2 linked regions of the Arabidopsis thaliana genome follow. The protein of the gene in region 1 purifies or fractionates together with the protein of each later gene. This does not show direct contact. Each region holds a gene or a part of one and is shown on either strand. Other genes may lie near its edges.

What was found.
Region 2: the proteins of AT2G24440 (region 1) and ATERDJ3A fractionate together in Arabidopsis thaliana (co-fractionation; one large-scale study listed by BioGRID). This does not show direct contact.

The regions. Positions count from the first base shown.
Region 1 is NC_003071.7:10,387,208-10,398,408, reverse strand, and holds AT2G24440 (selenium binding protein), read right to left. Parts: upstream 7,335-11,201; 5' UTR 7,286-7,334; coding exon 6,972-7,285; intron 6,688-6,971; coding exon 6,591-6,687; intron 6,473-6,590; coding exon 6,413-6,472; intron 5,998-6,412; coding exon 5,917-5,997; 3' UTR 5,391-5,916; coding exon of another isoform or gene 4,548-5,390; 3' UTR 4,475-4,547; downstream 1-4,474. Other genes in the region: AT2G24480 (Zinc finger, C3HC4 type (RING finger) family protein), read right to left, coding at 225-821; AT2G24470 (filament-like protein (DUF869)), read left to right, coding at 1,787-1,829, 2,346-2,581; AT2G24460 (C3HC4-type RING finger protein), read right to left, coding at 3,446-3,898; FLA3 (FASCICLIN-like arabinogalactan protein 3 precursor), read left to right, coding at 4,548-5,390.
Region 2 is NC_003074.8:2,729,849-2,741,817, forward strand, and holds ATERDJ3A (DNAJ heat shock N-terminal domain-containing protein), read left to right. Parts: upstream 1-7,448; 5' UTR 7,449-7,457; exon of another isoform or gene 7,458-7,508; intron 7,509-7,604; exon of another isoform or gene 7,605-7,639; 5' UTR 7,640-7,740; coding exon 7,741-7,830; intron 7,831-8,046; coding exon 8,047-8,102; intron 8,103-8,198; coding exon 8,199-8,272; intron 8,273-8,427; coding exon 8,428-8,939; intron 8,940-9,048; coding exon 9,049-9,390; intron 9,391-9,594; coding exon 9,595-9,948; intron 9,949-10,126; coding exon 10,127-10,417; 3' UTR 10,418-10,701; downstream 10,702-11,969. Other genes in the region: AT3G08960 (ARM repeat superfamily protein), read right to left, coding at 557-718, 817-886, 1,014-1,070, 1,150-1,256, 1,472-1,693, 1,784-1,828, 2,102-2,260, 2,375-2,479 and 15 more; AT3G08980 (Peptidase S24/S26A/S26B/S26C family protein), read left to right, coding at 11,431-11,584, 11,678-11,750. UniProt on the Arabidopsis thaliana protein: Regulates protein folding in the endoplasmic reticulum (ER) lumen. Functions probably as a co-molecular chaperone that is required for normal growth of pollen tubes under high-temperature stress.

The sequences.
Region 1 (11,201 bases):
AAGACAGCGTTTTGTGTTGCAATGTCGCATACTAGAATCAAACTTGTAAATGAAACTGCAATTACATGTTACCAACAAAAACAGATACATAAACTCTGAAAACCCTAATTTGCCTCTAGACAAAACAATGAAACATAAAAGTGAAAACCCTAAACACACTTCCGAAACAAGCTAAGTTTACAAAGTCACTAAAGACCACAAAATAAAACCCTAATTAGACTCTGCTATTTGTCAACAGGTTTGCGACAGAGAGGGCAAGAGTTATTATGACCAATCACCCACTTGGTGACACATCCTTCATGATAACAATGCTTACAATAAGGCATCTGGCAATAATTCTCAGATCTCGACATATTCTCCAAACAGATTGCACAAGTCTCCGATTCTTCTTCTTGGTCCACATCTGTTGCTGACGGAGAAGAAATACAAGGGACAACACTGTATACCTTTTGAGTCAATTTGACAGAGACAATCATGAATAAAGGTTGTTGTTGTGAGTAAAAACTTTGACTTCTTTGTCGTTGGGCTTCGACAATCTTAGAAGATATCTGTTCGGACATGACATGATCGTGGAGTTGGCTTTGGAGACGGTGAAAGACGTCGTTTGGTTTAAAACATGGTAGTTTCAGAGAGATTAGTGGGTCGTGGCAAGAAGAATCAGGGTAAGAACCGAGACTCGTGACACTATCATCTTTCTCTTTAATGAGAAATTCCTCGACTTCTCTATGTAGACTGATTACTACGGTGCTTAAGAACCCTAATGACCGACCTTGAGACCAAGCCTGAACATGAACATCGAGTTTGAATGATTCAGTATCCATTCTCGTAGTGAAAATTAGACAAAAAATCAGAGAGAAAGATGATTCGTAAAAGATTAGATGAGAGAGGAGATTGTAGTGAAATCTGAAATTGTGGAGAAGTGAATGTGTAATGTTATGTTTATATAAGCAAAACTCTGATTATAATTGTTCGAACGCGTTAATTGTAATTTCCTTTCTTTATTCTAACCGTTAATGTAATTTCCTTTTCTCCATATTACCTTGTTTCCTTTTTTTCTTGTTGGTAAAACATCTCGTTATACCAGAGTGCTTAAACCAAACCATTTTTCCTATTGTAATTTGCCGGTTTATATTGTGTTGTTTGATTTTCCTCAAATACTTTAACTAATAACCAAAATATATATATATATATATATATTTTTTTTTGGATAACCCAGGTATCCCAAGCCCAATGGGCCCAGACTAGCCCACTGCGTGCGTCCCGAAGACGGCAAGAGTAGTTCTTCAAATACTTTAACTAATAACCAAAATATATTTTGTTACAATAATAAAGAGATTGTTAGATAAATTGTGATATTTCACAATCTCTTTGATTTTTTTTTTTTTTTTCTGGTTATCATCATGTTGATGTGCTAATTGTGTTATATGTTACTTGGGAGCAACCTAATATTTTATCAAATGCTTTTTAAAGACCTCTATAGTATTCATGTTTTCTCTGACTTAAGCTGGCAAAAACATATTTCAAGTGAAAAGTTGCTTTTCGTGTAGAAAATTGGATTATCCAAAACGCTAATGTGTTCAACATACTTGAAAAGAGTGGTTTATGTGCTGCAATCATCGAAAGTTTTAGGGTCTTATGTAAAACATTTAATCCTATATATCAATTTAAGAGGAGTTTCCAACCAATATAGTTCACCTAAATCCAACTGTAAAATTCGAAACCGAAACTAATCTATATATATATATATACCAAAAAAATGAAGCTAAAACTACCAAAAAGATTGGCCATGGAAGAGCAAGTCTTGGGACAAAGCCACGACTGTGAAACCGGTTGTTGGAAATGAGTCAACTCTTGTTTGTTCTATGTCCTATAGCTTCTCTGGAGAATCAGGATCTCTGCTTTTATATGAGATTAGTAGTCCTAATGTGTCAGTTTTGATAATTTATAAATTTCATTTGTAAGTCTTTTGTGTTTTGATTGTCAGGAGAAGTGTAAGAACACAGACTATGTTCAGATAACTATCGAGTCATACACACGTATGAGTAAAATAGAGGATCAGGCCAAATTATTTGAAGTTGAAGTTAAATCTTAAAGAAAGACTCAATCATGCTTACTCTGAGTTTACGACTAAAGAATGATTCTTTAACATGGAAAAGTCGCTGAAGCAGCTGTTTCAGGTTAGAGCACAAAACCTTTCATAGTTCTTGAGATGTTATGTGAGCAATTCTTGTGTGTTAGTATTAGAAATTTAGAAAATACAGACTGTTTAAAGATGTTTTTGTTACTGATTTGTCTTTTGTTCTTTAGCACTTAAACGTCAACTTGAATCTGTAACACTCTTAAAGCTGCAGATAAGAGTGACCAGAAGCTGCAAGATGTGACTCTTGCTAAGACCACTCACTGGGGAAAGATCAAAGCTATGCTTGAAGAAAAGATCGATGAATTGAGCCAAGGACTTCACCGAGTAGCTTCTGACAATGCAGCACTCACTAGATCGTTGCAAGAACGATCTGAGATGATAGTAAAGATTAGTGAGGAGAGGTCTAAAGCTGAAGCTGATGTGGAAAAGCTGAAAGACTAATCTTCAGTTTGCTGAGAGAGAAATTGAGATCCGCAACAATGAAGAGAAAAACATGAGTTTGAAGTCAGCGGAAATCGCAAATAAGCAGCATCTGGAAGGTGTGAAAAAGATTGCAAGACTTGAAAAAGAGTGTCAAAGGCTAAGAAGGCTTCTACAAAAGAAGCTTCATGGTCCTGCTGCTATGTCTCAGATGAAGATAGAAGTTGAAAGCTTAGGGCATGAATTCACAGACCCTCAGGCACATAGGAACATGTCTCAAAATCACAAATTCACAATACACACTTCGCAGAGGCCGATATTTCTGCTGAACATCTCGCTTCCCGTAACAATGAACGCCTGCTTAAGTCTGGTATTAGATTGTTTCCTTGTTTATTTCATCTTTCTAAACGAATACTGTTCTTGGTTCAGATAAAAATTTATGTTGCTTGCCAATCAAGATTTTTGTTAAAAACAAGAAACAAACTTGTAATGTAAGCATTACAATTCGAGAATCTGAATTTTAGTTCTTCAAGTTCACTTGTCTTTTATCTGAATAAAAATTCGATTTTAACATCAATGTTGTGTATCATACAAGTATCAAACTTGTAATGACAATTTTTAAGTGAATTTCAAATTGAGACTCTGAGTTTTATTAAAGTAAACTGCATTGAATGTTGTCAACAAAAAGGTATTGAGATCAATACATAGACAATGAGAAAACCCTAATTAGCATCTTAAACGTCTACGACAGAGATTAAAACTAAACTTAGACTTGCGACACACGAATAAAACCCTAATTAGACTCTTGTTGTTCGTAAACAGGTTCCCCACAGAGAACATGAGTAACGACACAATCTTCATGAAACAGATGCGAGTTCGATTCTTCTACTTTGCTCTCTTAGTCAAATCTGTTGCCAACGGAGAAGCGTTACAAGGCGCGTAGGTGTATAACTTCTGTGTCAATTTGACGGAGACTAGCATGAATAAAGGTTGTTGAAACGGAAACTGATCAATACTTTGAGTTCCTAGTTGGGCTTCGAAAATCTGATCAGCTATTTCTTCGGACAAGACATGATCGTGGAGATGATCTTTGAGTTTGCTACGGAGAGTTAGATAGATGTAGTCTGGTTCGGAGGTTGGGAGTTTCAGAATGATTAGTGACTCGTCGGGAGTAGAAGAATCAGGGTAAGATCCGAGGCTCTTGATGCTATCAACATTCTCGTCATATTCCTCCAGATCTCTGTCAAGAGTGATTATTACCGTGCTTAACAACCCTAACGACGGATCTTGAGACGTAGTCGTTACTTGAACATCGAGTTTGATTGATTCAGTTTCCATCGTCGATCGTAGTGAAATTAGACAAAACTCAGAGATAGAGAGAAAAGATTAGTCGTATGGGAGAGGAGATTGTTGTGAAATCTGAAATTGTGGAGAAGTGAAGGTGTAATGTTATGTTTATATAAACAAGAAAACTCTTGAGGATAATTTGTTCTAACGCGTTAATGTAATTTCCTTTTTTTTCTTCCATATTGTCCTTTCTTTCTTATTATCTTCTTAAAAGCATTTTTATTGTTGTATTTCCTTTTTTCTTGTTGGTAAAACATATCTTCAAAAATAAAATAAATAAAATAAAACATCCTATGACCCTGTCACAACTTCCTGATTCTAGCTTCGGACCTCAAGTTGTTGAAGAATTGACTTAATAAAGATTAGGATGGACTTGTCTACGTTGGCTCTGTATCAATAACGCAAACCTCAGAACCAAAGGTAAAAATAAAACAGTCTAAAGCCAAATATAGAGGTAACAATAAAGTCATGTTCAAATTTAGCCAAAACAAATATAAGTAAATGTCTCTCCACCATTAATCTTGAGCTCCTCTTAAGGTCTGTATATATACCCAACCTGATCCTCTTATTGCAAACTCAGGCTTTGAGGTTTGAGCTTTTACTATAGAATAATAAGGGTAATAAACAAAGACACCCAAAGATGGGTCTCAAGGTCTCCTCTTCTCTCCTCTGTCTCACCATCTTACTCGCTGTTTCATCCATTGTATCAGCGGTTAACATAACCCGAGTGCTCGAGAAATACCCTGAATTCAGCACCATGACCGAGCTTCTTGCCAAGACCGAGCTCACACCAATTATCAACAAACGTCAGACCATCACCGTGCTGGCCCTTAACAACGATGCTATCGGTTCCATCTCTGGTAGACCCGAGGAAGAGGTCAAGAACATTCTTATGAACCATGTGGTTCTTGACTACTTTGATGAGCTTAAGCTCAAGGCTCTCAAGGAAAAGAGCACATTGCTCACTACCCTTTACCAGTCCACCGGTTTGGGCCAACAGCAAAACGGTTTCCTCAACTGCACCAAATCTAACGGAAAGATTTACTTTGGTTCTGGTGTGAAAGGCGCTCCTCAAACCGCTGAATACATCACAACCGTTTTCCGTAACCCGTACAATCTCTCTGTGGTCCAGATCAGCATGCCCATTGTGGCACCTGGACTCGGGTCTCCGGTTAAGGTTCCTCCACCACCACCCATGTCTTCACCACCGGCCCCATCTCCCAAGAAGGGTGCAGCCACTCCAGCTCCAGCTCCTGCTGATGAAGGGGATTATGCAGATGCTCCTCCTGGTTTAGCTCCAGAAACCGCACCTGCATCTGCACCATCAGAAAGTGATTCTCCAGCTCCAGCTCCAGATAAGTCTGGCAAGAAGAAGATGGCAGCAGCTGATGAGGCTGAACCACCTTCTTCTGCTTCTAACACCGGTTTGAGCTTCGGTGCTGTCCTTGTTCTCGGGTTTGTGGCTAGCTTTGTTGGGTTCTAAGATGATTTAAGACAGCGAGTCGAGGATAAATTAAACTGATAATGAGACTCGAACATAGACAGAGGCAATGGTGATACGAAGTGGATCAAAGACACTAACAATTTCTACTCACATTATTGTACCTCAATCATTTATCATTAGACAATGAAAGTGTGATGTTCTGTCCTGTGAAGCTTGTATTACCACATTGTAACTAAATGTTTTATCTTCATTCATCCAATCCGTAACGTAATTGAACGCCAAACACAATCCAACAATAAATGAAACGAAACGAATTGCTTCAAACTAGCATTACGAAGACAGACTTAATCCCATATATATCAGGAAGTTTTAGCATAAAGAAACTGCACAAAGCCGATCAAGCACTACCAAACGACGAAACCGTGCTCAAATGGTTTTCACCAATATATCAAAATTAAGCCTAAAAAATCCTGCAGTTGCTCTAGATAGTCAGATATTGAAGCCTATTAGCCGAGGGCCAAGGAGGAAACGAAAGACTCGGCATTGGTAGAACCTACTAGCTGTGTTACTTAATCTTCTCTACGATGTCCGCAATGACCTCTTCCATGTTAAGTTCCTTCATCGGTGTAAATGGGCGCTTCATAGCCTACATAAGAAAATCACATCATCTTCTATATACATCTGAGAATAAAGAACATGAAAGCAAACATTTTCTTATTGTACACCTAGTCACTAACAATCAGATCTGCTAGTTTGTTCTTATTTCAAACAACTTAGCACTCAACTTGATTCAGTTAAAAAGCAAACAACCAAAGGCCATTTTATGAATGCTCTAACAAAACCTCATTGGTGATCAGTTGACTCAGCAAAAATAGCCTCAATTTCGTGTGAGCTTAAGAAAATAAAGTTGATTTTCACTTTTTAAAGTATACCATCAAAGAAACTATGTTATGCGAATAGATACAGACACGACGAGAAACATCAATCCAACTGGAACAAGTCACTCACATAAGTGCGACTAACTGGCATACTACATTCAAGTATGAGAGTGAAAAACTTACCAAAAGACTGATGAATGTCTCGCCGCCTTCCTCTCGAATCTCAAAGCAACCACGCCTTGGCTGTTAAAGCAGATCAAAAAGGAAAGAATTAGCTTATTAATGCACACATTGGTACAAACAATCATAAACAACAAGCATCAATGACAAATATATACATCTGCAGCAAAAGATTCACTACCTTATCAGGATTCACAGTGACAATGATGCCAGGAACAGCTTCCTCTAGACCTTCCTTCACCTCATTAGCCCTCTCCTTGAATGATTTGCATTGTTTGCTTCAGGAAAACAACAACAAACAAACATCAGCAACATAACGAAACCTAACATCAATCAAAACCACACTAAGAAACATAACCAAATACGATAATAGATCACATTTCAACCTAAGCAACGAAATTGAATCAATTATATAGGCGAATGACACATTGTGTACAAAACCAAAGATTAGCTTCAATATCGGAGAACAAAATCCCTAAATACTCGCTACTACATTTTCCCCCAATTTTCTCCAGAAACTCTAAAAGAAAAAAACCAAAGCCGAGAGAGACATTTCGTTTACCAATGCTCGATCACAATCTTCTTCTTATCGGAGTCGTCATCTTCTTCTTTCTCTGCAGCATCATCATCTTCCTCCTCCTCTTTCTCGATTTTCACAGCTACCTCTTCTTTCTTTACCTTCTTCTTCGCAGCTCCAACATTCTTCGCTTTCGTCGTCTTCCGTTTCTTCTTCTCCGGAGATTCGATCTTCATGAGCTTAGAAGAAGAACCATCTCGCTTAGTATCGCTTCGAGTCTTTCGATCCATGCTTCGAAGCATCCTCGTATTCGCTATAGCTTTCCCTTTTCCTTCTCCGTCAACCTTCTTACTCGCCATTTGTACGGAACTAAAGCTCTGTCAACCTCCGCACCAAATGGGCTCTCTGTCTCTCTCTAGATATTTCACTTTTTTTATATTTTTACTTTTACTTTAGTTAAAAAGACGTTAGAAGGTTAAAAGTTACCTTGGAAGGACACGTCATCAAATTTTTAATGGACAGTCAAGATTAACTGATGAATAATAAAGACACTGACACTGTTCGATTATGGTCGCTGTGATAATAAAAGGCGTGTGTTTAAGTGATCATCAGTATAACACATCGTGACGTTTTATTTCTAAAGATTAGCACAACATGCTGTTTGGGTCAATCAATGGAAAGAAAACGTTGCAGAAGTTGCTGATTAATCAGTGGAAAGAAAACGTTTCAGGATTAGTAAAACATACTTAAAAGAAGATAGTTAATGATTATGAAAAGACCTTAAACAAGCCAAGAGTAGTCCAAGACTACTTGGAAATTGGAACATAGGGAGTATTCGAAGAGTCAAAACATAAAATAGCCAAATAGGTTAAAAACAAAATTTAGCTAAGAAATGGAATCTGTCATTAGTTAACCACCTAAGTCGATATATACTATACTGTTGGGATTGGACTACTAGGTACGTGTCCATCTCGAAAGATTGTTGCTTGCAAATTTGTGCAAAGATTTATTAAATTTAGATAAAGACAAATTACAAATCAAAATCAAAGACTTTTATTGATTATCGTACGGTAAAAATACCAGAATTATATTTGAAGTGTGTTACAAGTAGCATACCAAGCATGAATTCCGCATCAAATCAATACTTTCTTCCATGAATGTGTCATTTTCTCGATTAAGTAGATATGTTTATATCAACTTGTAATTTACTAGTGATTTATGAGTTACCGATATTTCATATACATGTTGATGTAAATGTCGACATGTATATGAAATATTGGTAACTCGGGTAGTATATAATCACATGTAGAGCTAAATTGTGGTGAGTGGGTTAATTGACTCCATGCTATTTTTTTTTAATTTATTTATAACCTTAAATAACATAAAATAAAAAAAAATTTGGGGTCAAATGACCCACTCACCACCACAAAGTTATATGAGATTGTTTTAAGATTATAAAAATATGCTACAACTCCATACAAACGAAAAATTCAAAACTACAATTGAAGTAAAATATAGTGGGATGATACTTTCTTAAACTTATATTGGGAGCATTTTTGTGTTGTAAAATTACAATCTTTTTGGACTAAATAACTGATTCATGCTCTTTTTTCTGAAAATCAAAATGATGGAGAAAGAAATTAAAGTGCACAAAATTTTATGAAATTAAATAAAAGTGCATAATAAGTAGATATATATCGATATAAAGTATACGTACACGATAAAGTAACTTTGGGATATTGATGAATGTCCATGCATATAGTGAACATTCACACAAATCGGTTAATGTTCATATTCACACAAATCGGTTAATGTTCACATTCACACATCGGTCATCGGTGGATCATGTTGTAAGAAGTTTGTAGGTGTTACCAAAACAAATATGTATTAAAATTAATCAAACTACGTCTACGTCACTGTAAGAAGTTTTGTAGATCTGTCATGCAATCTTCATAATGACTAAATTAAGATGTATTAACACTAAAAAGGTTATGTATCACTTAGATAAAATAAAAAAGTATATTGGAAATAAAAGAAGAAAAAATTGAAGCTGCTATATGATGCAAAAATAAACCCAATTAATCAACAATCATAGTAAAAAAAAAGAAGGTCGTTTTCATATAAAATGAGATTTTCAAAATTTTAAAGGCTCTCGAGTGAATATTTTCTATTAACATGCATGGTTCGGATTTTTCTAAAACTAGATCATTCAAATTTGCTTTAGATTAGTGAGAATGTTTGCCCAATCATATACGCGAAAGATAATATGATGAGATAAATGTGTCGTAATTTCTTGTACGGGTGAGCATATCCTAACATTTGAAAAAGTTGAACTGTAAACAGATTATAACAATCTTTTACATATTTTGTTAATAAAAAATGGTTATCTACGTAATAATGGTAGCTTCGTAGGAAACATTAGAGGTAAAATGAACAAAGAACGGTAGGTTCTAATGATCGGGACATTCGTCGTTGATTAAAGACGCATTTCATTTTCTTACTTGAAGTGTTTGATAAGTTAAACCTACTACATTTTCTGGAAGACTACGAAATATAAGAATATGTGGGAAGATATACTATAATATATCTTCTCATGGTATAATTGGCATGACTTTTTTTCAAAATTGGCATGTTTCATTTGGTAATAAAATAAAATGTTATCGTATTTCAAAGAAAATTTGAGCAACAATATAGTTTATACAATGGTACTTCTTATAGTGATAATTGCGATAACTGTTGATTCAAATTCTTTATTTTATTAATATTAAATATCTAGTAAGCCCTATTGTTCAATTATTCCATGTACTTTTGACGATGTATAGTCGGAGTCTAAGCTAGTTTTTTTCTTCTAATTATGAGAATATGAATCTAAATCTTTCTAAGTTATGTTGTTGTTTTGTTTCAAGTTATTTCTATCCTACCACTAGTCAGTCAAACCGGAATTTCAAAACTTCAAAGTTAAATGTTAGGTTTCCATTGATTAATTACTCTATACACCTTTTTTTTGTCGGGCAAAATCAATATATTAGGACAAGACGTCGGAAAAAGTTTGGAAGAAAACCAACAATGTGTCCGCAATATTTGGACCGTAAAGAATGATTATATATTACGTTTATACAAAATGATCTTGAAGTGAGGGTACCTAAAATGCTAGGTTGATTTCCAAATATGTATTTGTGTTGGAGCGAATTAATCAGCGGGTTGTTGAATGATCACATGAAATCCTTAAGATAATTGAAGGAGACTCAAATTACACACACGCAAACTCATCCATATCTGATCTTAGATATATTATATATGGAACTAACATTGGTCATTTTGCGGTCTTGAGCGGAAGAGATGACTCAATACTTAGTACTTTTCTAAGAAGATTGAACTCAAAACAGCCTCAACGAGCTAAATTATTTTTGTGTGAAGATAGAACTCAAAATTACATCCACAGAACTGCAATCTATTTATATGCGAAGAGATAACGCAACATTTAATTTTAGCAAGCTAAAATTCACTTTCCAATTAAACGTAAACTCAACACTTACTTTCAACAAACTGATATATCTACTTGAAAAGAAAACTCAACGCTTGCACTCAGCGAGCATAACTTCTCTTCTTCTTCTTCTTTTTTCTTGTCGAGGTAACAAAAATGTCACAAGTTTTGTTGAGGAGAAGAGTTTACAGTCACATCGGGAGTTTTTTTTTCCCATTAAATCTCTTTTCTTTGGAGGTCTTTAATTTGATTCTCAACAGATACGTGATCAAGTTGTGAATAATCAATTTTTTTGTGAATATATACCAACTCGAATAAAATAAAAACATAAATGGACAAAATAAAAAAAAGTCAAAAAATAAAATTGTCATTAATTATTATGTGTCCTTTTTTGGTAATTTATTTTTGGGAAAACAGTAAATATTTTATTGTGTTTAATTATATAGAAGAATAGCTAATATTTGGAACAAAATTGTTCACGTGGAAAAGACAGTGAGAAAACTTGGATCCATCCATAGTCCATATATATGGGTAGTCTTCCTTCTTTCTTTATTTGATGTGTTATTCATGACCATTTTATATTTGAATTAAATCATATAAACCATTTGATTCTTTGACCATCGACCATTGACCCCTAAACCAAACATATGATTTTTTTTGGGAGTCGTAATTAGCAACAAAACGGACCGGCTCGTGCGTGATCCGACACCAACACCAACATAAGGTTTTTTTTTTTCCGTTCTTAACACCAACATAGTTCATTCATATATATAGGGAATATACACATGTGG
Region 2 (11,969 bases), on another chromosome or scaffold:
TTAGAGTTCTTGGGACAAAAAACAGACCGGAAATACATCGTAAGGATCTCCCTATTTTGATTCCTCACTTTTTCTTTAGTGTTGTTTGTAACATTGGGACAAAAACGTTGTATTGAAGAATGAATTGACATACTAAACTCGACCAAAGGAAAACAAATATAAGTCTCTGAAAGATGCCTCCTTTTGTTCTGTAGGGAATCATGGGCAGCTAAAAGGGAATCACCTCATCAAAGATATGTACATAGTTCATCAAACCGCCAAGGTCGCAGAGGTCAATGCAACATGCGCGCCTATGTAACACACCCATCAAATCCATAACCGTAAAGGGAAGAAAAGCTCACTCACCTGAACAGTTATGAAGTGGCGAGTCAGATCAAATGGTGAAGAGGCAAAAACATTCAATCACTTGAATACTGATGAATATAGAAAAACACAATGGAGGTTTTTTAATGAATGACGCTGAAAAGAGAGAATAACAACGAATCAGAAACTCACTTGAATACTGCTGCTCTTTAACTGATAAGGAAACAAACAATCACGAGGCAAAAACATTTATTCACGGCAGCTTTAAGGCTTGCTTCACTTGTGCAAGCGCCGATGGGTGCATCCTACTAATGGCAGAATTAAAGGCATCTCCATGAAGTGTAGAACATGTCTGAAGGTTCTCACGCGTTGAGTTCTCTAGTGACATCTGGTAGATTGGGTCGGAAACTTTTATCTAAATAAGATCCAACCCCCCAAAAAAGAAGTGTAATAAATCAGTGGTTTTGTAGAAGCTGGTTCTTCAAGAAACCCATATTTTAAATTAACTTTTACCTGACTTTTCCGTAACTCTTTGCTTGGCGGGGTTTCTTCTCCTTGAGACCTGCTTGAACTCATGTCACCGCTGGAATTATAAATTGTGTGTTTCTTAATTCTTAGTGTTGTGAACAGTTCAATAACAAATAAAAAAAGTCACTTAAAATTAATTTAATAATGTTATGTAATGTAAGTAATTAAAAAAAGTATCTGACCTTGATTCTTCTTCTGTTAAATCTTTGTTTTCACCAAGGATCACACTGGTGCATGTACTGTTTCCAGAAACGCGATAAATTATATCACAAAGATACATAAGTCAAACTGTTAATTCTCGACTGTGCAAACCTGTACCTTAGTATTAGATCAAGCTTGTCAAGAACTTGGGGCATTCTAAGTGTAAGTATTATGGAAAGAGCCAAGCCAAATGTCTTTTGTTGCATGGGAGACGCATGGTCCACCTGCACGAGTAGATGCAAGACTAAAGTGCGTCAGATAATGAAAAAGAAACATGCATTTCAACATGTAGAGCAGTTTGACAATGAGATATTGCTTAGGATTCAAGAAAAAGACCATGTAAAGACATGAAACAAGTTAATATTCCATTATCTGAAAGTTAATAGTCTAGAAAGCTATTCGAACAACCAGTAATGTTCAAGATGTGTTCTTCACTGACCTTGTCGAGCCAAATGTCGATGAGGCAAAGGAGTATATTGTCTTCGACTGGGACACCTGCCTGTTGGAGTAACACTGAAAGAGATGAATCAGATGTTAGCTGGGCCAGGTAAGTGGTGTTCATCACCAGAATCCTTGCAAGGATAGCTGCTGAAGACACTTTAACTGCAGTCTTGGATGGATCACGGTCATCTCCACCACTCAAGCAAATAATCACCAGTTTCTGCGAGAAAACGAACAAACCAACTCCATCAGATGCATTAAGGAAGAAAATGGATTTTGCATCCATCAAAAGAAGACTAGAAAAATTCACCTGCAAACAGCTGCTGATGAGAGGGGGCACTTCCACAGGAAAACACTGCTCAATACACAAGCACATGTTCATATCAAGAAGTTAAACTTGGCGTAATTTGCAACACATTTATAGAGAGTCATGACAAAAAATTCCAGTGTAATCATGCCAAAAGTTCCATTACTGGTCAATATATATGTATCCCAAGAGATGAGGCTATGTAATACAAAAATAAATGCAGTCTAGATACAAACTTAACAGAAGAATAAGTATCTCTGGAACTTAAACACCATCACAATAAGGATACGACCAATTGGGAAAATGGGAAATTATACGCACCTGAACTAAGATGTCAATCACTGGAAGAATCGAGAGTAAACCCTTATCATTTACATTTCCAACGATAAGATCAAGAATTTTTGCGACACTTGAAGCATGCATATTTAGAAATTCTCCTCCATCCAAAATGATATACGAATCCATGATACTGACAGCAACCTATATATGGTCATTTGAATGTCTCAAGACGTAACATGTTGAAGTAAATCTGAACACACACATGTATAGGTCATTAATGAATCAAACAACTCCTTGAAAACTTAAAAAGCTCACCTGTAAATGATCAAAACTTCTTTCAATGATCTCCACCATATAGGGAAACAATGCTAATAGCTGGGGCACCATCATAGGAGCATAGGAAAGTGTGGTTTCCCATAACTGCATATGTAGAGCAGTGTTATTAATATATAGCGCATTTGTATCAGCAGAAAAGAAAGGTATACATGTTATGATATGGAAACTTACTGCCATGCTATCCTCCAGAAGGTTGAGTGAATCAGGGCTATTTATGTCAATGCCCTTTTGGAGTATTGGGAGCAGTATGCTATAGCAAATGGGAGACTGATAACCAAGTGCAATCACAAAATTTCGCAGTGCGACAAGAAGCTGGATCTGCAGAAGGCTTTCACCAGAAGATTCCTCCCAAACCTGTTCTTAAGTCAACCACATAGATAGTCAGCTATAAATTGCGGACCAAGAAAAGAAAAAACAAAAAAACAAATCCACAAAGAAAGCTAGTATACCTTCTGGAAGAATTGCACCAACTTTTGTGCGTACGGAATGACTTCGCTAACATGGCCAATAAGAGTAGAAATCAAATTCAGAATTTGAACCTGAGAATAGTTAGATGTTGTATGAGTCATCGAAGGAAGTATAATGGCAAGAATGGAGTGCTATAATGAATTTGAGGCAGCTACATCAAGTACCTTCGAATCAAACTCTTGAACTACCTCGACCATTTTGAAACATGAATCCCAACAGATTGGAAGAAGATCAAGAAAACTTTGCTCCGAAAAATTTGCATCCTCGACATGTAAGCATAATGACCTACTAGCTGCCAGCTACATAAGTAAACAGATGATCTCAGAGGTCACCAATACATATAAAGAAAAAAATGAGAGAATGTGCCCTTAATGCAAGACAGAAAGATAAAAGAAACAAAGATGAGATAAGATGAGACTACCTTTACAGCGAGGTCATTGTCTTGCAACAATTTGATCAAAGCACAATAAACTGCTCTTTTTGTGTCATCCTTAATCTGAAAGGTTGTAATCATCAACCATTTACCATTAGCCAACCATTTTTCAACCAAAATCTAATTGACGAAAACTAGGGTAGAGAAGAGAACACAAACCAACAGGGTAACTAACCCTAATAGCCATTTGTAACAAATAACCAGAAACAATTCTGCTTTTAGATGGCTATCCCTCATTGACTCAACTTATGGACAAGATATTATGTCAATTTGCAAATTATGTTATAATCTTAAGATGCTTTTAGAAAAAAAGATAAGATGTGATTTCCTCCAAAGCCTTGTCAAGCTTAGCTGCATAAACATGGTAAAGCCGGTGTAAAACAAGTAAACAGCAGTACCTCCGAAACCCAATGTCCCAATATCATAGCAACTTTTCGGTGGATGATACGCCTATTTGGATGGTCATTTGAGAGTTCAAGGGATAGAGCACCATTAAACCTGCAGCCAATCATCCGATCATTAAGAAGGGTACAATAATTACTTGACTAATCAAAACTTTTGTCACATTCTGCTGGCTAGCAAAATGAAGGGTCAAGATGTTTAGAGCAGATGGAAAAAAGATTCAGACATTAGAAGATCAAGAGCATACCAATCTCTGAAATTAAGATAATTCGAGAGCTCATAGTAGACATATGCAGTAGCAGCGTATGCCGCATCTTTAAGAAGCAGTGCAGGAGTTATTTCAGTAACAGAAGGGGGACAATTATTCATTGCTTCTTGAAGGATGGACACAACAATAGGTCCTAGCAGCTGTCCACAATTATAGAGACAGATGGAATACGCATCAGTTATAGCGTTTAATGATATCTATATCAATTAGCAGACTTCTTTTCAGAACAGGATGAAGTGCCTAAGACTATTTGCTACTTACTTGGCTGTAGTTCTCAAACAAAACCATATATAGAGCTTCAGCACAAGGCCTCAATTTCTCTGTCCACTGAATCATGTCCTGCTCATGATGAAAGGACTCAGGGTTCTGGTACCACTCCTCTAGGTCACTTGCTGTTAGTACAAAATACCTGTTGGAATGTCGATGGTTAATTTCAGTAAACTTTTCTTCCAGGCATCATTCATACAACGACCATGACACCATCACAGTTCACAACACAATAAATGAACTTAATGCATGCAATAATTTTCAAACTAGCTCCACTAGGCCCCGACAGTAACATTGCCTTCTCATTTATTCCATGCACGCAGCAAGAAGAGATTGAGACCAGAGATACATAGATGTACAGCAACTAGATCATTATGTGTCCACAAGATTGCCCCAGCTCATATTATGTTTTGGATTTTGCATTGGTATTGAAATTTATGTATTATCAAATTAACTAATAAGAACTAAGGCATGAAATAATATGAATATAACAGGGCCACAGTTTGGTAACTAAGAGAGACCCAAAAATTTGAATTCACATATCTTACTGTTAGTTAAGAGTGTTACCGTCTCACTAGTACGTTGCAGAGAAGAACTATCCTTTCATTGGGTAAAAGTGACGACACAATGCCACCAACTGTGTTGGAAGCATTCTTCTTCCTCTGCTCAAATGTATCTCCGTTGTCATCCATCACACGACCAGTTCGACTTGGCTTATATTCTTTACATTCAAGCACAGATTTCACCATCACCATACACTGAATAAAAAAATCTTCAAATGGCAACAATGCCTGTTCGGGGTCCGTTATCTTGTTTAAGCAGAAATCCACTACAACTGGAAGAGCACATTTATCTCCAAACGAAAATGGATGCCTGCTTTGAATAGCACCTAACACCTTCATCAGCTTGACACATGCCTTCTTTACAAACTCCCAGAATTTAGGATCTCGATTTTGAAAAGATGAATCTGCATGGAGGCTCCACACAAGTTAGCAATACATACATATATATGTGTGCTGACAGGTCATATGCATGAAAAAGAGTTTCCACCACACAAAAAAACTCACAATATGGAAGAAAGGATTGAGCCGCATTCAAGAGCGCAGGAGAGACTTCTTTCACTGGTTGTATCTCCTGAGAGAAACGAGTTAGCTGTATATTCTTTTATCTGCATGAAGAGCATATGCCGGAGAGCAAGAAAGATTTCTCTATCCCGATGTAGTCAACCAATCTATTAAGGTTATGATTTCAACTTAACCATTGGAAGATAGCAGAAGAAATGGAAAGTGCGGGGAACGGAACACATATTTGGCGAAACTATACCACAAGTTCATAGAAGGGAGATAGCTGAAGGTGAATGTGATAATGAACTAAAAAGATTCATGAAAAAGTATAGTGTATCTACCTGTATATTATTGGCATCGCTTAGAAATCCTGAAATTATCAGTTGGCGCACTATTTTCAAACATAAAAACCACCTCTCACAAGTCAGAAAAAGCTCATCGTGATGCTGCTCGGCACTATTTGAACCATAGCTCTGAACCATTGTTGAAAAGCCATGTAGAATTGTTTGGACATCAGTTTGCCAAAGGTGCCAACTAAAGTCGAAGAATTGCGACGAGATCTGCCAACAAATTAAACTGGACCTTATCCTTAACTAAAGCAAAAAACGAAGCTTTGGTCCAACAATAAATTCATTCAAGAGGAGAAAGGAAACTGATAAGGGGTTGATGTTAGTAGCAGACTCACCTCAGCGAAGGTCTTCTGATCCGCAGTGAGACGTTTAGTAGACAATTCCTTTAAGGTTCGAAAAAGAATCAGAAAGATTCTGTGAGAAGCCAGAACGTCAGCTGAGTGAAGCTGTTGCGCTAGTACCGAAAAGAGATCAGGCCTGATATCATGAAGCACGCAATGCATAAACTCAGTAAATCAAGGAAGATAGTGTCCAGTTAATATGAATTAAGAAGGGAAAATGCTGACCATTCCCTAGGATAATCAAAACGGGCTATCTTCGATATGAGAACAGCCAACATTTCCGCTATCTGCAATAAAGCAAACAAAGTCAGATAGATATGCTTACAAAGTATATGCCTCAAATGGTGTAGTCAAGGAAAAAAATCAAAAGTAAATGCTACAACACCTGGTAGTTCTCTTCTCTCAAGTGAGACAACAATTTCTGCCTCAGATGACTCTTTTCCTCGTTGCTCATACTCCTGTAAGAATTGCCAGAAAGAGTGTCAAGGCCTAACATACAGGGTAGTATCTTTGCAGAGCGAAGAATCTAAACGAGCCAGCTAAAAAGAATTATAAGTAGAATTGCCGATTCCGGAAACAACTTGAACTTACCATGAATTTCTTCTGCTCTTCCAATGACGGTTGATACTGTTCTTGAAATACACTGAGGCCATTAATCTAACGTCCACATGGGACACCAAATCCTTGGATGCAATTACTTCCTGCAACCAAACCAGAGGAAATGAGCGAGTAAAATCAAGCTGACATTTGCAGAAACCACAAGACACATAGATTAGAAACGCTACCATAAGGCAAGAACAGAAACCAGGTCTACTCTCCGACAGAGATAGAGCCGCCTCCGCCGGCCGCCGAACGGTCTCGTCACCGCTCATTGAATTAGCTAATAGCGTGTACATCGCCGGCAAATCGGAAGCCGATAACGCCATCAGATCCGACGATATTGTTGACCTAATTAACCAAGGAAACGTCGAGGATGAACCCTAGAGGTTTGTTACGACGACGATAAAATCTCACGGCGAAGGAAGGAAAACGCGAAGCTAGTAGAGACAGAGAAGAGAAGAAAGATCGTCTTCTTCTTCCTCCGTCTTTCAACTTCTCTTAAGCTCTTGAAACGTAACAATGTCACTAGTGAAAATGATTTCCTCTTTTTTTTTTAACAGTCGAAGAAAAAAGAAATACTTACCGTCGCTCTGATCGGATTCCGATCACCCAACCGGAGACTTTCGTTTTGGGCTAACTACAGATTATTGGGCCTATAATAAATAAGCCCAAATTAATAATCGCGCGTGATCTTAACGGCGCGTGAACGCAAATAAACAACGATCGCTCGTGTTTGCTAAAATCTTATTGGTGGAGATACGTGGGATTGCATCAAATTTGCCACGTATGATACCCGCCTTAAATTGAGAACGGGAAGCAACCGGAATTTATTTTCAGGAAATACGAAACAACCCCTGCTAGTTTTTGAAGTGAGTAATTGCCCCTACCAATTTCTTAATCCAATTGACAATTTTGGTGTCTTTTGTAAGACTATTAAATATGGGGAATACTCTAAATTAATTAAAATATATATGTCATTCGAGAAATTTCCTTTTTTTCCTTTAAACCCTGCGAACCTATTTAATGATGTCCTTCTCGATTTTTCTCGAAGCGTTGAGTTTCGTGAATAAGACACGCTTAGAAGAGGAAGAAGAAGATTCGTTGACAACAAAACAATAAAAGAGAAAAAGATTGAGAGGTTGTACTTTCGGGATGGTGAGAACAAGATTGGCGATATCTGTTGTTCTTGTGTCGACATTGTTGTTGTTGAATGTGAAAGCGAAGAGCGTTGATCCTTACAAGGTACGGTTTGTGATTCATCTTGTTTTCTTTCCATTCACAAGTCTTTTGATTGGGGCCGGAAATAATGATTACTTTTGATTGTCCCCTTTCTCATTGAAGTTTGGGCTGACAAATTTGTGGGTGTTATAGAAAAGAAGGATTTTTGATATATTAGGTTTTGCTCAGTAGTTTTTGCTATTGATTATAAACATTATTAACTAATGAATGCATCTTCAGGTTCTTGGAGTATCTAAGGATGCAAAGCAGCGTGAAATCCAGAAAGCTTTCCACAAGTAAGCACCCTTCGTTTCTAGTCGCTGATTAAGCTAATAATTCGAATGATGATCAACAAATAGTTTACTCATGTAGCTTGTGATTTTTTTTGGCAGGCAATCTCTGAAATATCATCCAGATAAAAACAAAGATAAGGGTGCTCAGGAGAAGTTTGCTGAGATTAATAATGGTAGGTATCAAATTTCCCTAGGAGATGTGTCCTGTAATCGAATCTTTTAGTATATTATAAGATTATTCTTGTTCTATGGCCATGTGTTTGTGGCACAAATTGAATTTTTGTTGATCTGGCTTTGACAAGTTTAAACCCTTATCTATGTGTAACAGCGTATGAGATCTTATCTGATGAAGAGAAGAGGAAAAACTATGATCTTTATGGAGATGAGAAAGGACAGCCTGGATTTGATTCGGGGTTTCCCGGAGGTAATGGTGGGTATTCTTACTCCTCAAGTGGTGGTGGTTTCAACTTTGGAGGGCCTGGTGGTTGGCAAAATATGGGCGGTGGGGGAGGTTCCAAATCGTTTTCTTTCTCGTTTGGCGGTCCTAGTGAAAGCTCCTTTGGTTTTGGTATGGATGATATCTTTTCCATGTTTTCGGGCGGTAGTTCTAAAGGAAAGGAGCAGTTTGGTGGCTTTGGTAGCTCATCGAATGCTGAATCTAAATCAAAGAGCAGTACTGTAGCAGCTATCAAAACCATTAACTCTCAGGTCTATAAGAAGGACGTTGTGGACCAAGGGATGACTTGGCTTTTGTTGTCGTATCTTCCATCTCAGAGGGGAAGCCAGTACCATGAATCCATCATAGAGGAAGTTGCTGAGTCGTTGCAAGGAGCTTTAAAGGTAAAACATATGCTTGTCAAGTTAGTTGATTTTGGGTTTTCTGTTTCGTTCTTAAAAGAAGAAGTGTAGTTTCTTTTGTTGTTTACGTGATTTAACTTTATGTTTACAGGTTGGGCGATTAAATTGTGAAACAGAATCCTCTCTTTGCAAACAACTAGGCATAGTTCCTCGTAGGGCTCCAAGGATGTTTGTTTATTCATACACATCAAGTGGCAAAGCTACCTTAGCAGAATATACTGAAGAGCTTGTTGCAAAGAAGGTGAAAAGCTTCTGCCAGGAACATCTACCGAGATTCTCAAAAAAGATTGATCTGAATACATTCGATGTATCTGCCGTTAGCTCACAAAAGACTCCTAAAGTTTTGCTTCTGTCAACAAAGAAAGACACTCCTGTCATCTGGCGGGTTCTAAGTGGCTTGTACAATGGACGATTTGTCTTTTACAACACAGAGGTTTGTTATATTTTGGCTTTAATTTCCACTTACATCACTATTCCTACAATTATTGTTACTGCGAGAGTCTGATGGTCGTAGAAATTATGGGGTGGTTCCCTGGTCCACGTTTAATGACGAGTCAGCAAATTTGAACTTAATTATTAGAATTCCTTAGACATGAAATCTTTTTAGCTAAAGTATTTTTTTCTCATGATCTTGTAGGTCCATGATACTTCTGATCCAAAGATACAAAAGTTGGGGGTAGACAAGTTTCCGGCAATAGTTGGTTGGTTATCGAATGGGGAGAAGCAAGTCTTGAAAACAGGTATCACTGTGAAAAATCTGAAATCAGCTGTCCAGGAACTTGGTAAATTGCTTGAAGGATTAGAGAAGAAGAACAAGAAGGTCTCTTCTAAGAGTCAGGCGGGCCAAGCCCCTAACGAGTCCTCAGAAAAGATACCTCTTCTGTCAAGACCAAATTTTGACTCCATTTGTGGGGAGAACACTCCTGTTTGTATCATTGGTGCCTTCAGATCGTCAAATGGTAAAGAGAAGCTGCAGTCAATAATGTCCAAGGTAAACAAATATATCACTACCTCTATACTCTATTTATATGCCTTTGGCTCAGTATGATAGTTAAACACGGTTCTTTGATAAATTTCAAGAAGTGAAGCGGTGTTCTTTCTTCAAGCCATTACTCTTTTGGTTCTTTGACTTGATGATGAATAATCCTCCGGCTCTATTCTTTGTCCAGGTATCCCAGAAATCACTCTCTCGACGACAAGCTTCAACCACAGGTTCTCAGGACACAGTATCCTATTCGCTTCTAGACGCAACAAAACAATCTGCGTTCTTGAGCTCCCTTGACAAATCAGAGTTCAAAACTTCTTCTGATAAGCTCCTAATAGCTTACAAGCCTCGACGAGGTAAGTTTGCTACATTCAAAGGCGATATGACTATTGAGGAAGTTGAGAAATTCGTAGCAGCTGTTCTTAACGGAGACATACAGTTCACAAAGACAAGACAGAAACCCCAGATCAAATGAAAGTTTTTTTTCATCAGACATTAGTTTCAGAGATGTACATCGTTTTGGAGGAGAAAAGGGTGATTTTTCACGTTTCCTGTGTTGCAATCTGCTTTTGACAGTAAGTTTGTGTATTGTCAAGAGACGTGAAACAGTTCTATAGGACTAGAATTATGTCATTGTACTGAGTACTGACTACTGAGTTCTTTGTAATTATTACAAATTATAAATATGAAAATGTTGGGGTTTTGACTTTGAACCCCAACACACTTCTGAAATTAGAGACCGGTAAAAACAGTTTAAAAGCCGCAGTGACCCTGATTTACTCCAGTTAACCACACTCTATAGACAAGTTAGAGTGTTACTTTTTGGCAGAATAACAGTTTAAAAGCCGCAGTGACCTTCGGGCCTTTGACCGCGAATCCAACGGTCACGAACCGGAAGAAACCAGACTAAATCCGCGACACGAACTTTTTGATTGAACCGGCTAATTTATGGTACCAGCTAAACCTTGTAGAGCAAAAGAGAAACCCTGATTCTTCTTCTTCACATCGTCGCGAGCTCTGGTTCTCTGCTCTCATCCGCTTCACAAAATTGATTTGCGAGTCGTTGTGTTCCAACTCTCATTCTTTTGCACCTGGATTTCTTCCATTTTCAGGTTATTACAATCACGTTAGATTTTGCGTTTTTTTTGTTTTCACAGTCCTGTGGTCGATTTCGATACGGTTCGATTAGGCTTACACTTCAGATTAGTTTCATCTTTCAGTTCCATGAATCGATTAGGTTTAGTTCACTAATTTTAGCATGGTTTGAGATTAGATTTAGAAAACCCGATTCATTAACTGGTTGACAATGCTGTGGTTTTAGACTGTAGTGTTTGATCTAAAATGGTTTTCTGTTTGATATAATCGTATTGGTTGTATTTTAAATCTCATTTAAATGATGTATCAACTATAAAGCCTTCTGGTTTTGTTGCAGATAGATGGTTCTATGAATGTTGCTGAGAATCAGATATTAGTTAGGCCATCTTGGACATGGGAATCCAGAATATTTTATGGCAAGTGGCGAAGAAATCATTCACTGGAAGTATTATAGGGCTTACCATTTCAGATAGATGTTGTAGCGTTGTTCCAGTGAGAGGAGATTCCATGTCTCCCACATTTAATCCCCAGCGGAATTCTTATTTAGGTAAGTGTCCTACTGCACAAACTGCTAGAAGGTAGACTTTTGCTTATTTTGGTCCATTCTTCTTTCTTATTAGATGTTCAAATGTTGATGCAGATGATTATGTACTTGTGGACAAATTTTGCCTTAAGGATTACAAGTTTGCGCGTGGTGATGTTGTAGTGTTCAGGTATGTTCCCTATAATGCCACATTTGAGTCATCCTTTGACAAGGGAAGATTATAGCTACATAATACTTAAATACATGTTGATCTCTTGTTTAAACCTTTTCTTGGATGCTTACAGCATTCACAATTTTATTAAATCTAATTCCCTAAAACCTTACAAATGTTTGTTGTCCTATTTGTGGTGCTGAACCATGAAATTCGTGCATATTCAATCTCTGGTAC